Oryzias latipes: one gene and its partners. The protein of the gene in region 1 interacts with the protein of each later gene in a biochemical or structural test. Links are inferred from orthologs where the notes say so. Each region holds a gene or a part of one and is shown on either strand. Other genes may lie near its edges.

Region 1 (4,374 bases):
CAGAGCTGGAGGAGTTTAGGAATGTGCAACCACAGGACCTTTTGGCCCCACGGCTGCATGTCTTCCTTCCCTCTCTGGGCCTAAAAACATGGCCTTTCACAGCCCTGAGCATCTGCTCCAGGGCCACTGTGTGACAAACCACAGCGGACAACCACCCACTCACAAGCTGGAAAATGACAACCCTCGATACAGTGGCTGCTCTCTCGAAGAACCACAGTCAAATCTGGGGAGGTTTCGTTTTGACCTCTCTTCAGAACTGTGATTGCTTCTTCCCATGTGTGTGGGCGACTGGGCAGTTGAGGACGTGTCAATTTAGTGTCAATCAGACCCAGGAACTGGAACATCAGAAGTCCTGAATCATCTAGTTTATACTGCCACCTGTTGGATGGTTGGATTCTTTACCCCTTGACAAACAGCTGTCCGTTTAGCACCAACAACAGTCTTTTTTATTATATGTAATCAAAGCTACCCAGAAAATATTCTCATCTATATTAAAAAATAAGATACAATAAACTTTTTTTACATCCTGCTGTGAAGAAATTAAATTGTTACAACTCTGGGGATCAGGCATAAGGGAGCAAAGAAAGGAAAATTTAAAATGTGCAAAAATATTTAAGGAAATAAAAAATATAAAAGAATTATACACCTCAAATACAATTAAATACAATTATAGTATACAACACACATTTCAATTGTATGCAACCATTTTAAAAATCAATATAACAAATAAAAATATTTTTTTTCCTATTCAAATACTGCAAATATACATCATTTTATTGTGTTTACAGGAATTACATTCCATTTAATGTTAGTTCATTATGACACACTTGTTTAGTAATTATGCTCATGATTTTAAAGCCTTAATTTTGTCACCTAATGTCACTAATTCTGTAAAATCCTCCCCAAATTTTTTTAAGTTGACTTAAAAGAATAATGCAATTTTCTTTTTCAATTTTATTGAAGAGTATACAACAGGAGAACAAATACACAATGTGAAATACATTAACAAGATCAAACAGTGAGGGGCTTTATTTAAATAAATACATATAAAGATTCACAAATACTGATTGTTTTAAATTTGAAAACAATCAATATTTTTGAATATTTGTAACCATTCCTGTTAGAAGAGTGTGATATTGATTTTATGTATAAAAATATATCGTTAAGAAATTGAGAAAATATGGTGCTTTATGGTGAAATTACATCTATAAATTATTAATTTTTTATATATGTATTATCTGTACTGCTGGCATAAATTAAGAAAACTAATCTACTTTCATAAACAGTAGATACGATACATTTTTCACTCAAAATAAAAACAATGTTGTGCATTTTTTTCTTTCTTTAATTTATTTACAATGGGTTTACTAAAAAAATTTAAATAAAACATTTTTACTAGTGGTATTTTATTAAAAACAACTAAACTAAAACGTAAAAAAAATAAACTCGAATCAACTTCCGCTTTTTTCATCAACTTCCGCTACCGTCAAATTAATCAACACAGCGTGACGTCACTTCTGGTCAGTTCAGGCGGGCTGCTTAAAACCAGAAGTCGCTTATTTTATTGTCGCTATACAAAACTAGTATACATTAATGTATCAACGTATGAGGAAGTGAAGTAAAGTTTTTTCCTCAGTACGTTAGGTGTTAGGCTTTTGATTTAAATCAGCTTTGCTGCAAAATTACCGGCTAGCTTAAGCTTCATGTGATCGAAGGGTAAAATAGCGGCTAAATCGCCGTTAATGTCCTTATTGATCGTTGGATAAACTAAGGGTATAATTTGTCAAAAATCCTATAAAGGGATGGACCGGCCGTCGAGGTGAGCAAGAAACATTTTCATTAGTTTATCGTTTTTTAATTACTTGTCAAATGTGAATAGAAAAGACGCTCTTAAGTTATTTCTCTACGTTTGCTTATTTGTTACAGAAAGACAAAGGTTGTGAATTATAGTGAAGCCAAGGATTTTGAGGATGGTGAGTTATTTGTGTTTTGTTCATCCAACTTTTATTTTCAAATTTTTTGTCTAATATCATATGTTCAATGATTCACAACAACAATTGTGTTGCTACTCTACGTCTTTCTCTTAATTTAAGTTTTAAGACTTAACTTCAAACTTAGCTTCTCTTCTGTGTGAAAACACCTTCCATGTTTGGTTTAGTTAGTCCAAACATTATAAAAACTAAAGATACATGTCTGCATTCGCTGATAACTATACTATAGTTATTCAAAAGATTCTGTATTTGGAAGAACTAGAGAACGATAGACATAAAGGACCCAGACGCTTAAAGCCTACTCCTTTATACCGATTCAACTTTAATTACCCAAAGTTGCATTTAGTTTTACAGCGTTTACCAGGTAACCCCTTTTGATTAGCCTGTTTCTTTGTTGTGTCAGATGAAGATTTTGCCTCCGTGAAGGCTCCACCTCACAAAAAAGCCAAGGAAGAAGTGAAACAACAACAGAGAAAGTCTTCAAGTCAGGAAGTTGTCTCTGAGTCGTCACAGAAAGAAAAGATCAGGTACACCGTTGGACATTTAGATGTTTTGGGGGATTTTATTGTCACTTATGGATCTTTGGATTATTGTGAGCCTCTCAAGTTATCTCCACCTCTTGAGTAAACATTAGTCCTAAAGACCCACTCAGATGAAAAAGGACTTTTTGGTGTTTTTTACATGTTCTTGTGGCATTTTTCTGATGATGGAGGACAAATATGAAGAAAAGTAAGCTTAAAATTTCATTTCTAAGTATTTCTTTATCTAAATTGTTGTGAATCAGGAGAAAATGATAAAATGCAGTTGTGTAAATATTTCATTTGTTGTGTAAAAAAATACGCTGGGAATTTTGGGATGAAAGTTATGGTATATCTGTGTATTACAATCTGTTTTTCAACTATGTCTGCAGCACAATGGCAAAATAAATAGCCCTCAGTGTTTTATTGTCTTGGATGTCTTTCAAGTCTACGATAAAGTCATGTTGACAATAATTTATTTTAATAAAAGATGACAATTGTATCACTTTTACCCATACAGGTCACATAGCTGAATATTCATCTATTAGTACTTTTTTTTTTTGCTTAATTTCCATATAGTTTAAACAACAAAAAAATGTGTTTTTTTGCTGCCCTTTTCTGACTTTGAGCCCCTGGCCCTCTATGATCCCGTACCTATCCCTGAGCAGCAACAAAATGGTTTGGCACCTGAGAAGTTAAAAATTATTTTAACTAATTTAGTTTTTAACCAATTAACACTTAATATTCTCAGAAAACCACTGGATGAAAAACTTTATGACAGAGACCTTGAGGCAGCCATCACACTGTCCTTGCTCAACAACACAGATGGGCTGAAGGAGTCATCTCCTAAAGGTTTGTTTTGTCTTGAAAAATGCTGAGTTGATTTGTTTTTCTCTGAGAGTGGTAACAAATTCTTTCTGGAAAAAAAAAAATTTCTCCAGCAGATGGAAAGATTCAAATCCCCATGGATGAAAATACGGATCCGACTACTTTGCGCTTTTCTAACTGCAGTGTGGATGGAGCAGTTTTGGGTAAGTATTGTTCTCCCCTCCCAAATCCCCGATCAATATGTTTTTCTTCGTCTAATCGACATTTTCTTTCAGTTTACTCATTTTTTTGTGTTTTTATTGTCGTTTGTGGGTCCCAGGCTTAGACGCAATCTCGTCAGAGATCAGATCATCCGCCTCAAAGAAGACTTCTTCTAAAACAGCTGAAGTGAAAAAATGCAAAGATGACGATGACGACTATCAACCCAAACTTACACCCGGTTAGCACTTTTTTCTTCCAAAGCTCCATAAAAAACTGTTCTCTTGGTTTTCATAAGTGTAACAGCTCTTTGCTTTTCCAGATCCAGAAAGTGATGAAGATTTCAGTGAGCCATCTGAGAGTGAGGATGAAGAATTTACAGTCAAGAAACCCACAAAGACCCAAAAGAAGGACAAAGTCTCCCCAAAAGACAGAATCAAACCAGCTCCCACTTCTAAAAAAGTCAAACAACCGTCAAAGACGAAGCCTGAAGCAGCAGGTTTGTTTCAACGGCTGACGTTTTCCATCCTCTTGATTTTTGTTACTAAGCCTTTTAAAACATTTTAGCTGCTTCCAAACCGGTGAAAAGTCCTCCAACGTCCAAACCGACACCCACCAGACCTCCTTCCACAAAGCCTGCATCCTCTCTGAGCCCAGCAGCGGGGAAAGTACCCAAGTGGAACCCACCAGGTACAGCTTATCAATGCACTTACTCTTTCTGTTATTTAAACTGCTGTAATCAGATTGAAGGCTAATATTTATATTAATACTATATTCCAGCTCAGATTGGTAAAAGCGCCTCATCATCACACAGTCCACCGGTGAAGTCACCCAGCCAG
Region 2 (4,425 bases), on another chromosome or scaffold:
TGAAGGTGCTCCGTGGAAATGGGAGTCTTTCCATTCCAGAGGAAGGCGTTTCAGCAGATTAATAGGCAGGCATATCTGTGGACAGCTGTTTAATTCTGGGAGGACCCTTGACTCTCTCCTTTCTTTAAAAGCAGGCTCTTAATTTGTGAAAAGATCCAGAGGTTTCTTGAGTCACCGTGAAGTTGTTGATTCAAAAGCTACTTCTGGAATTTTCCTGCTTACTAATGTTTTTAACGGTTACTGAAAAGTTTTCTGAAGATGCAAACTAACCTTTGATCTGTTCTGAAGTCTGAAAAAACATAAAGCTGAGCAGATTCATTTTAGTAAAGACAGTAAATTCTGTTAACAAATTCAGGTTTTTTCTTCTTATTTACTTTTTAAATATATATTTATCTGTGTGCATTTGTTCTAACCCCAGTCTTTTTCTTTAAATCCAGGGTAAAGGATTCTGTCATGTTGATGATTAAAGCACAGAAAAAATGTTTTTAAATCTTTTATTTTTCAGATGCTGCAGCTGGAGCCAGTGGGACAGACCCGTGGTGGCCACAGTCTCCCAAAAAAGAAGATTTCTGCAAAACCCAATGAACATTAAAAGAATCCTTTTAAAAATGAATATTTCACTTTTCTTTTAAAGCCAAAAAATAAATCCTGTGTTTTAGTCTGACTTTTTTGTATTTCAGTATAAGAGTGATTCTCCTCTGAGTTGAAAACACTTCATGTGCAATTTTGTTATAATTGTAATAAATGGAAAATGAAATGTGAGGTTTATTCTTTTATTGTTTTAAGGTTACGCTTGGTTGGAAAAAAAAAATTCACTTGAATTTTGTTGCAGTTATGTACGAAAAATGTCAAATTAGTAGGTCACAGCTGTTTTAAATTTGAATTTGCATTTATTGGCCCATGACTTGGATGTTTGTTTTTGAGGAACTAGTTTAAAATCAAACGCATATTTAAGCATGCGGAGGTCATGTTTAAATCCTTTTATGGTGGGGATTTTATTTTCCTATTGAAAGTAAAATAAAGGCTTCAAATTTAAACAAGATGCCAATGATGCCTGAAAGTGCTTTTACAATTCAGTGAAATCTTTGCTCTATCAAAATAAAGGTTTATTTCAATGTTTACTGAAAACCTTATTAGTCACGGATGAATAAATGAATCTAAATACCACTTTTGAAGACTTTTTTTGTTAAAATAATCACAAAAACGTGTCTGACAGACATTTTATTTGGTAAAGACATTACTTATAAACATGAAATTGAGGGGAAAATGCGTTTAAACAGATCTTCCTAATGAGAAATTTTGGATTTTTAACGGATCCCTGTTCTTTGTAGCTTTTCACATTATGAGCAAGCCTCTTTTTTTAAGATTTAAGTATACATATTTTATGTTTTTGTGGAAAACAATTTCAAACTAATATCCATTTACGAAGCTAAAACCGAAAATGTTTAGTTCTTTATTTTTTACTTGATAAAAAAAATGTTCCTTTTCCGGTTTCCTGTTTTGTCAAGGCATGGGAACACATGTGACGTCATCGCGTTCGACAGGAATCTCGTGCGCGGGAGTTTTGTTTGTAGGATCAGCAAACAGAACAAAGCAGCAGGTATTTCATCGAAACCGTGGTCTTTAGTAGAAAAATGTCACTGCTTCTAGGGGGTTCGAACCATGACACTTGGCTCTTTGCTCTTAAACCCAGAGCAGCTTTACGGAAGATCAAACTTTTTGTACGAAATTACGCAAATTAGCGCTAAAGCTAAGTTAGCGGGCGACTTCAATTTAGCCAAAAAATGCTTTGAAAGATACAAATAAGCCTTTTGAAAATATGAACAGCTGCTGTTGTTATTGGAAAACTTTGATTTATAGGAGTCAGTTTGTAGTCGTTTGGTTAAACACTGGTTTCCCCATAAGTGTTACGTCAACTTATCAATAAAGTTTTTGAATTTGAACAACGGGGTGTAACTTCAACAGGCAATGTTAACTTTAGAAAACATTTGTCTCTTCTAATCATTTATTATAAAATGCGGATTAAAAAAAGCTTTGAACACCTGCTGAGACGCTGCAGTTAACATTTTATTTTATCAACTACAACTAAGAACTACAAATCCCTGCTGCATAACAGGCTGCAAATTGGTTTGATAATGCCACTTTATTCCCTGAATTATGTAGAGGAAAGAAAAGTAATTTAAACGTATATATTTAAAATTATTTGACTAATAAAAATTCGTTAGTATTCAGTATATTGCTTAAAAACCTCTAAAGAGGATTGATGGATAATTGCATGCTGGGAAATCATGTTTCACGTGTTTAAGTTTTAAGTTACTGTTAATATTCTTATTCTGTGCTTAGGTGTTTTGGGTCGTTTAAAACGCTCCTATTTTAGTTTAAGAAAATATCCTCAAGTCTTTTATGTTTTGAAGAAAAACTAGTATTAAATCAGTAGGATTTAGTTAAATGAAAGCATTAGACCTCCTTAAACTTTCTGTCCTGTTTTGTTTTGTATCGTGGTGTTTGCTGCTCTGACACTCCTTTTTGACTCTGTGCAGTGAGGACCCTGCCTGAGGAGAATTCAGCTTTTCATTCAAGAGTCATGGCCATGAGGAGCGAGGCTCGGGTGGAGGCAGAAGTGGCGGTGGAGGAGGAGGAGAACTTTGGGCCGCAGCCTCTTAGCAGACTGGAGGTTTGAACCCTGATAGTTCTATTGTGTCTTTTGCAGAAGCTTTGTTGTCTTAAACATTTTGGTTTCTGCTTGCAGCAGTGTGGAATCAGCTCCAGCGACATCAAGAAACTGGAGGACGCAGGCTTCCACACCATTGAGGCCGTGGCGTACGCTCCCAAGAAGGAGCTGCTCAACATCAAAGGCATCAGCGAGGCCAAAGCCGACAAGATCCTAGTGAGGAACAGCAGCTTCTGGCTTCAGGGATTCTGCTGCTCCTACCTAACGGTTCTGTTATCTCTCTCAGACTGAAGCTGCCAAGCTAGTACCGATGGGTTTCACTACAGCCACAGAGTTCCACCAGAGAAGGTCGGAGATCATCCAGATCTCCACAGGATCCAAAGAGCTGGACAAACTCCTGCAGGGTGAGTTTGCTGGAGCTCCTTCACCATCCCTGAGGATTTGAAGAATGTTGACCTTTTCCTTCCTGAGTTCAGGTGGTATTGAGACAGGCTCCATCACAGAGATGTTTGGGGAGTTTCGCACGGGGAAGACGCAGCTGTGCCACACCCTCGCTGTCACGTGTCAGGTAAGATCAGCGCGGAATGGCCAAACTTCCATCTGTCTGATCACGTGAAGCTTTCAGTCCTCTGTTCTGTTTGCAGCTGCCCATCGATCAAGGGGGAGGAGAAGGGAAAGCGATGTACATCGACACAGAGGGGACCTTCAGACCAGAGAGGCTCCTCGCTGTGGCAGAGAGGCGAGTTTCCACCGTGAGCGTCAAACTCCTCATCTTACTTTGAGAAAATGTTAAAACTCTGGGCTCTTCAGGTACGGTCTGGTGGGCAGTGACGTCCTGGACAACGTGGCGTACGCCCGCGCCTTCAACACCGACCATCAGACCCAACTGCTGTACCAAGCTTCAGCCATGATGGCAGAGTCCAGGTGAGTCCTTCACACCTTCTGCTGTCCTCCAGTCCACTTCCTGAGATCAGACAGTTTGCAGGTTTCCGAACACATTCAGTCAAAGGTCACATACCCAAGTGTTTGAGCTTTAAAGTCCGATCATCTTTTTTTAAAATCTATTTTCAAATCATTCCCAGTAATCTTTTTATCATGAATATGCTGATTTTGGCCAAACTAGCATAACTGGTTGCCTCTAGTTGAATGTTTATCCTTCTTTTACAATGCAGCAAATAGGTTCATTTGAAGAATGAGAGATAAAAAATCAATACATTTAAATATATATATATGTTTATTGACATGTTATTGAGGGAAACAGTATGTCAGGAGGGGGCGGCAATGAAATAGAGGATTATGTCATCAGCATGGAGGTGGATGGAGGAGTCAGATGTTCTTAATGTTGATAACTGATGAGATCCATCAGGATAAACCTCAGACAGAACTGCCCCCTGCTGGTGGCTCTGTTAGTGCACAGACAGCGAGGACTTTTCAGGTGCCTCACTGGTCATCATATTTGGTGGACTTTGTGAGGAAGCCGCAGAGAAAACCCACACATGCAGCCAAATGTAATATTCTACCGAAGGAGGTTGACAAATGGAACTGCTGTTAAAAAAAAAGTTGTCAGTTCATCTGTATTGTAAAAAAAGCATCAGAACATCAGCTTTAGATTACTTTAGATGGTGCGTTTGTGTCTCAGGTATGCCCTGCTGATCGTGGATAGCGCCACTGCTCTGTACAGAACCGACTACTCGGGTCGAGGAGAGCTGTCGGCCCGGCAGGGGCACCTGGGCCGGTTCCTGCGCATGCTGCTG
Region 3 (3,130 bases), on another chromosome or scaffold:
GACGTGACAAATTCTTTTTTCGAAATGGCAGCCTTTCTGTTGGTTGTATCTCCATAGCAACCATTTTGTCTTTTGGTCGCCTGGGGGCGACGAACAAGCCGGTGTAATTTTTGGAAGAATCGGCAAAAGTAAATTTTTAGGTTTCCTTGGCAACAGAAGTTTTTTGTTAACCACGCCCACATTTTGGATACATTCATATCGTGTGTTATATCGTTTCAAATCGGCTCGACGCAGAGATTCGTGTATTACATTTTCATAACATTCTGATAGAAAATGTGAGAGCAAGAAAGGAACGCCATTCTTGCGAGGTCGCCACGGTAACGTCATTCAAAACCTATAAACCTTTTCTTTCCCCAACATTTATTTTCGCCCCAGCGTCCCAATGATGCTTGGGGAATTAGGAGGTAATAGATTCTAATCCATAGAAGGAGTTTGTAGAAGGTGATTTCTTATGAAAATTCCAGATGGCGGCCTCTTCCTGAGGTCAAAGGTCAACAAATCTACAGCTGTGGTTGTAGACTTAACCTGGTGATGAGTTTGCTTTCTTTTCCTATTCTGTGCTTAGGTCCAAATTAATTTACTAAACTCTATTGGTTCTGAAAAGTATTGCATTTGCACAAGAAGTAGATTTTTGCTGAAATGATTTATTCATATTTCTATCAATAAACAGGGAGAAATGACTATTTCCAGTGTAACATAAGTTAAGGAAAGGAAAACTTCACTTTTCAATCCGATCTTTTGTGACTTATTTTGAAATAAACCAGACATTCTGCCCAATTGAACTTCAATAAATTACTTTTTTTGTTGAATTCAGTGCATCTGGAACACAACAAGCTGTCATATAAATACTAAACAGAAACGATACCGCAGCTGTAAGCCAACAGGCGGCCGTGAACACGTCTGTCCTCCGTTTTTCGTCACTCTTTGGCGTCAGTCACTCCTCCAGCAGAAATGGCAAAGGTCGCCTCGTTTTCAGGCATGACGGGGCTGCAGACAAACGGTCCAGTAAGTCCGGTTCATTTAGGAGCTGTGATGATTATCAATATCAAAGGCTTACAACCTGTCGAATATTTTAGCGATTCTCATCTCTCCTCTTCCTTTCCTCAGGCTGATGCGGGTGGTGGAGGCGTGGGCCAGGATGTGCCCCCCGATGGGCTTCTTGGGATCAGCTTGAAATCTAAAACAGGGGGGGGGATACATAAAAGCACATTTCTGAGTCAGAAATGAAAAAACAAACAAACATCCTTTTCTGATGAATGAGGGTTTTTGTGATCCTTACGTCATCCCTGCTCCAGGATCTGCCGTCATCTGGTTGGTAACAAACACAGCCACGTTGTACTCTAGAAACACAAACAGCTGCTTACTCTGCCTGAACACTTTCTCCTCTTGATCATCTTGCTTTTCTACAGGATTTTAACCCTTGTGCTATCTTAGATGACCCCACCCTTCCATTGATGTGTTCTCCCTACCATGACAAAGGTGGATAAAGGTGGAAAGATTTCATGTAATCCAGTGACACCAGTGAAGATCACAAATCATTGAAGAAAAAAGGTTCAGAGCACTGTCTAGTGGGTCTAGATGACCCAACTCCCAATGTTAAAGTGCCTAGGATAGCACAAGGGTTAAAGGACAGGACTTTAACCCATCTTTGCATTTCTGTGACCCCTATCTCATTAGTACAACAGAGTTTTAGGGCCAGTTTACAATTATTATAATTTTTATTACAAGATTTTAAGTCATAAATTTACAAGAGAAGAAAATCATATAAATTTACAAGAAAAGATCTTGTAAATTTAGTAGAAAAAAACTCATACATTTATGAGTAAAAAATCTAATAGATTTACTAGAAAAAACTAGCAAATTTACGCGAAAAACATTCTTATAAATTTACAAGAATAAATCTCATACCTTTACTAGAAAAAACCTTGTGAATTTAAGAAACAAAAAAGTCATAAATTAATACGAAAAACCACCAAAGTTGTCTGTTTATTGGCCCTTTGTTTGAAGATAAAAGATGTGGAGCATTTTGTGAAGCCTTATTTCCGGATAGGTTTCAAAAACCAGGAAGTTCTGAACCTTTTGGTGACTTAATATCAAATTCTTGTCAGTGTAGTCGGCTTTGCGTGCGCACGCTTATCCGAATTTCTTTTCTTTTTAACCACGGTCACCTGGAGGGCTCCGTATTTCTGTTCATTCTTCGCGTGCCTTTACGGTTTGAGGTTTGGCTCCTCCCCGTGTCGTTTCTTCACCATAAGGAGCTTCATGAACAACTGAAAACGTTTCTGTGCTCTTAACCCCTGAGACACTTCAGCAAACGCAGATCTGCTTCTCACCCTCAGAGATTTTCTGCAGCCGGGACAGCATCTGGGCCAGTTTCTGCTGCCGCTCGGCCAGCTCCCCCCGGCCAGAGAAGTCCACTCTGAACAGCGCCATGATGGAGTCAATAATCTGAAGGAGAGCAGAGTCAGCCTCTGCCCCGATCGCAGGGGTCACGGCGGAGGTCCAGGAGTGAAGGTCTCCTCACCAGCAGCTTGAACACGCCTCCCTCTTCATGAAACTTGGCGGCTACAAAGTCCAGCAGCTCCATCTGGTGTTCGCCTGCGGAGAAACAGCGTCACGGGGACCAGCGTTCATTTGCATCATAAGAACGTGCGTTGATTCCATGGTGTGGCTGGCGCACTGGTATAAGCTCGAGCATAAAGCACGTTGTCCAGAACCGCACCGTGGTCCACGTTGAACCTGTCGGCGATGTCTCTCAGCCTGTCTGGGCGACTGAAACACGGCAGGTCAAGAACATCACCAAAACACAGATAGGAGTTCAGGACCAGCGTCACTTCATGCATAAAGTTGCTTTAGCCGTAAGGATACAACGTGTTCTCTGTGTCGATGAAGATGACTTTTCCTCCGGAGTAGCCGTTCTCCCCTGGCAGCTGTGCAGTGACTTCACGCAGAAACAGAAATGTTCATGTCATGTGCAAAAAAAGATGCTTGAAACTGTTTTACTCACCACAAAGCGTGTGAGACAGCTGGGTTTTTCCTGTGCGGAACTCTGACAAACAAAGACAATATTCATTTTTTATAGATTAAACATGTAATAATCTGTTGGGAAACTTTTGGATTAATAAACAGA

Evidence for each region.
Region 2: the proteins of rad51ap1 (region 1) and rad51 form a complex in vitro, tested with the Homo sapiens proteins (6 studies listed by BioGRID and IntAct). The link is inferred for Oryzias latipes from reciprocal best matches to the Homo sapiens genes RAD51AP1 and RAD51.
Region 3: the proteins of rad51ap1 (region 1) and dmc1 form a complex in vitro, tested with the Homo sapiens proteins (2 studies listed by BioGRID and IntAct). The link is inferred for Oryzias latipes from reciprocal best matches to the Homo sapiens genes RAD51AP1 and DMC1.

What each region holds. Positions count from the first base shown.
Region 1 is NC_019881.2:17,661,215-17,665,588, reverse strand, and holds the start of rad51ap1 (RAD51-associated protein 1), read left to right. Parts: upstream 1-1,489; 5' UTR 1,490-1,802; coding exon 1,803-1,819; intron 1,820-1,926; coding exon 1,927-1,973; intron 1,974-2,394; coding exon 2,395-2,518; intron 2,519-3,260; coding exon 3,261-3,361; intron 3,362-3,450; coding exon 3,451-3,540; intron 3,541-3,656; coding exon 3,657-3,776; intron 3,777-3,857; coding exon 3,858-4,034; intron 4,035-4,102; coding exon 4,103-4,225; intron 4,226-4,315; coding exon 4,316-4,374. UniProt on the Homo sapiens protein: Structure-specific DNA-binding protein involved in DNA repair by promoting RAD51-mediated homologous recombination.
Region 2 is NC_019882.2:19,722,695-19,727,119, forward strand, and holds the start of rad51 (DNA repair protein RAD51 homolog 1), read left to right. Parts: upstream 1-1,529; 5' UTR 1,530-1,600; intron 1,601-1,636; exon of another isoform or gene 1,637-1,721; intron 1,722-2,540; 5' UTR 2,541-2,584; coding exon 2,585-2,674; intron 2,675-2,749; coding exon 2,750-2,887; intron 2,888-2,957; coding exon 2,958-3,075; intron 3,076-3,147; coding exon 3,148-3,239; intron 3,240-3,315; coding exon 3,316-3,410; intron 3,411-3,481; coding exon 3,482-3,595; intron 3,596-4,310; coding exon 4,311-4,425. Other genes in the region: centromere-associated protein E, read left to right, coding at 506-585.
Region 3 is NC_019877.2:2,423,967-2,427,096, reverse strand, and holds the end of dmc1 (meiotic recombination protein DMC1/LIM15 homolog), read right to left. Parts: intron 3,050-3,130; coding exon 3,008-3,049; intron 2,942-3,007; coding exon 2,869-2,941; intron 2,773-2,868; coding exon 2,681-2,772; intron 2,599-2,680; coding exon 2,525-2,598; intron 2,449-2,524; coding exon 2,334-2,448; intron 1,341-2,333; coding exon 1,280-1,340; intron 1,178-1,279; coding exon 1,061-1,177; intron 988-1,060; coding exon 918-987; 3' UTR 626-917; downstream 1-625. UniProt on the Homo sapiens protein: Participates in meiotic recombination, specifically in homologous strand assimilation, which is required for the resolution of meiotic double-strand breaks.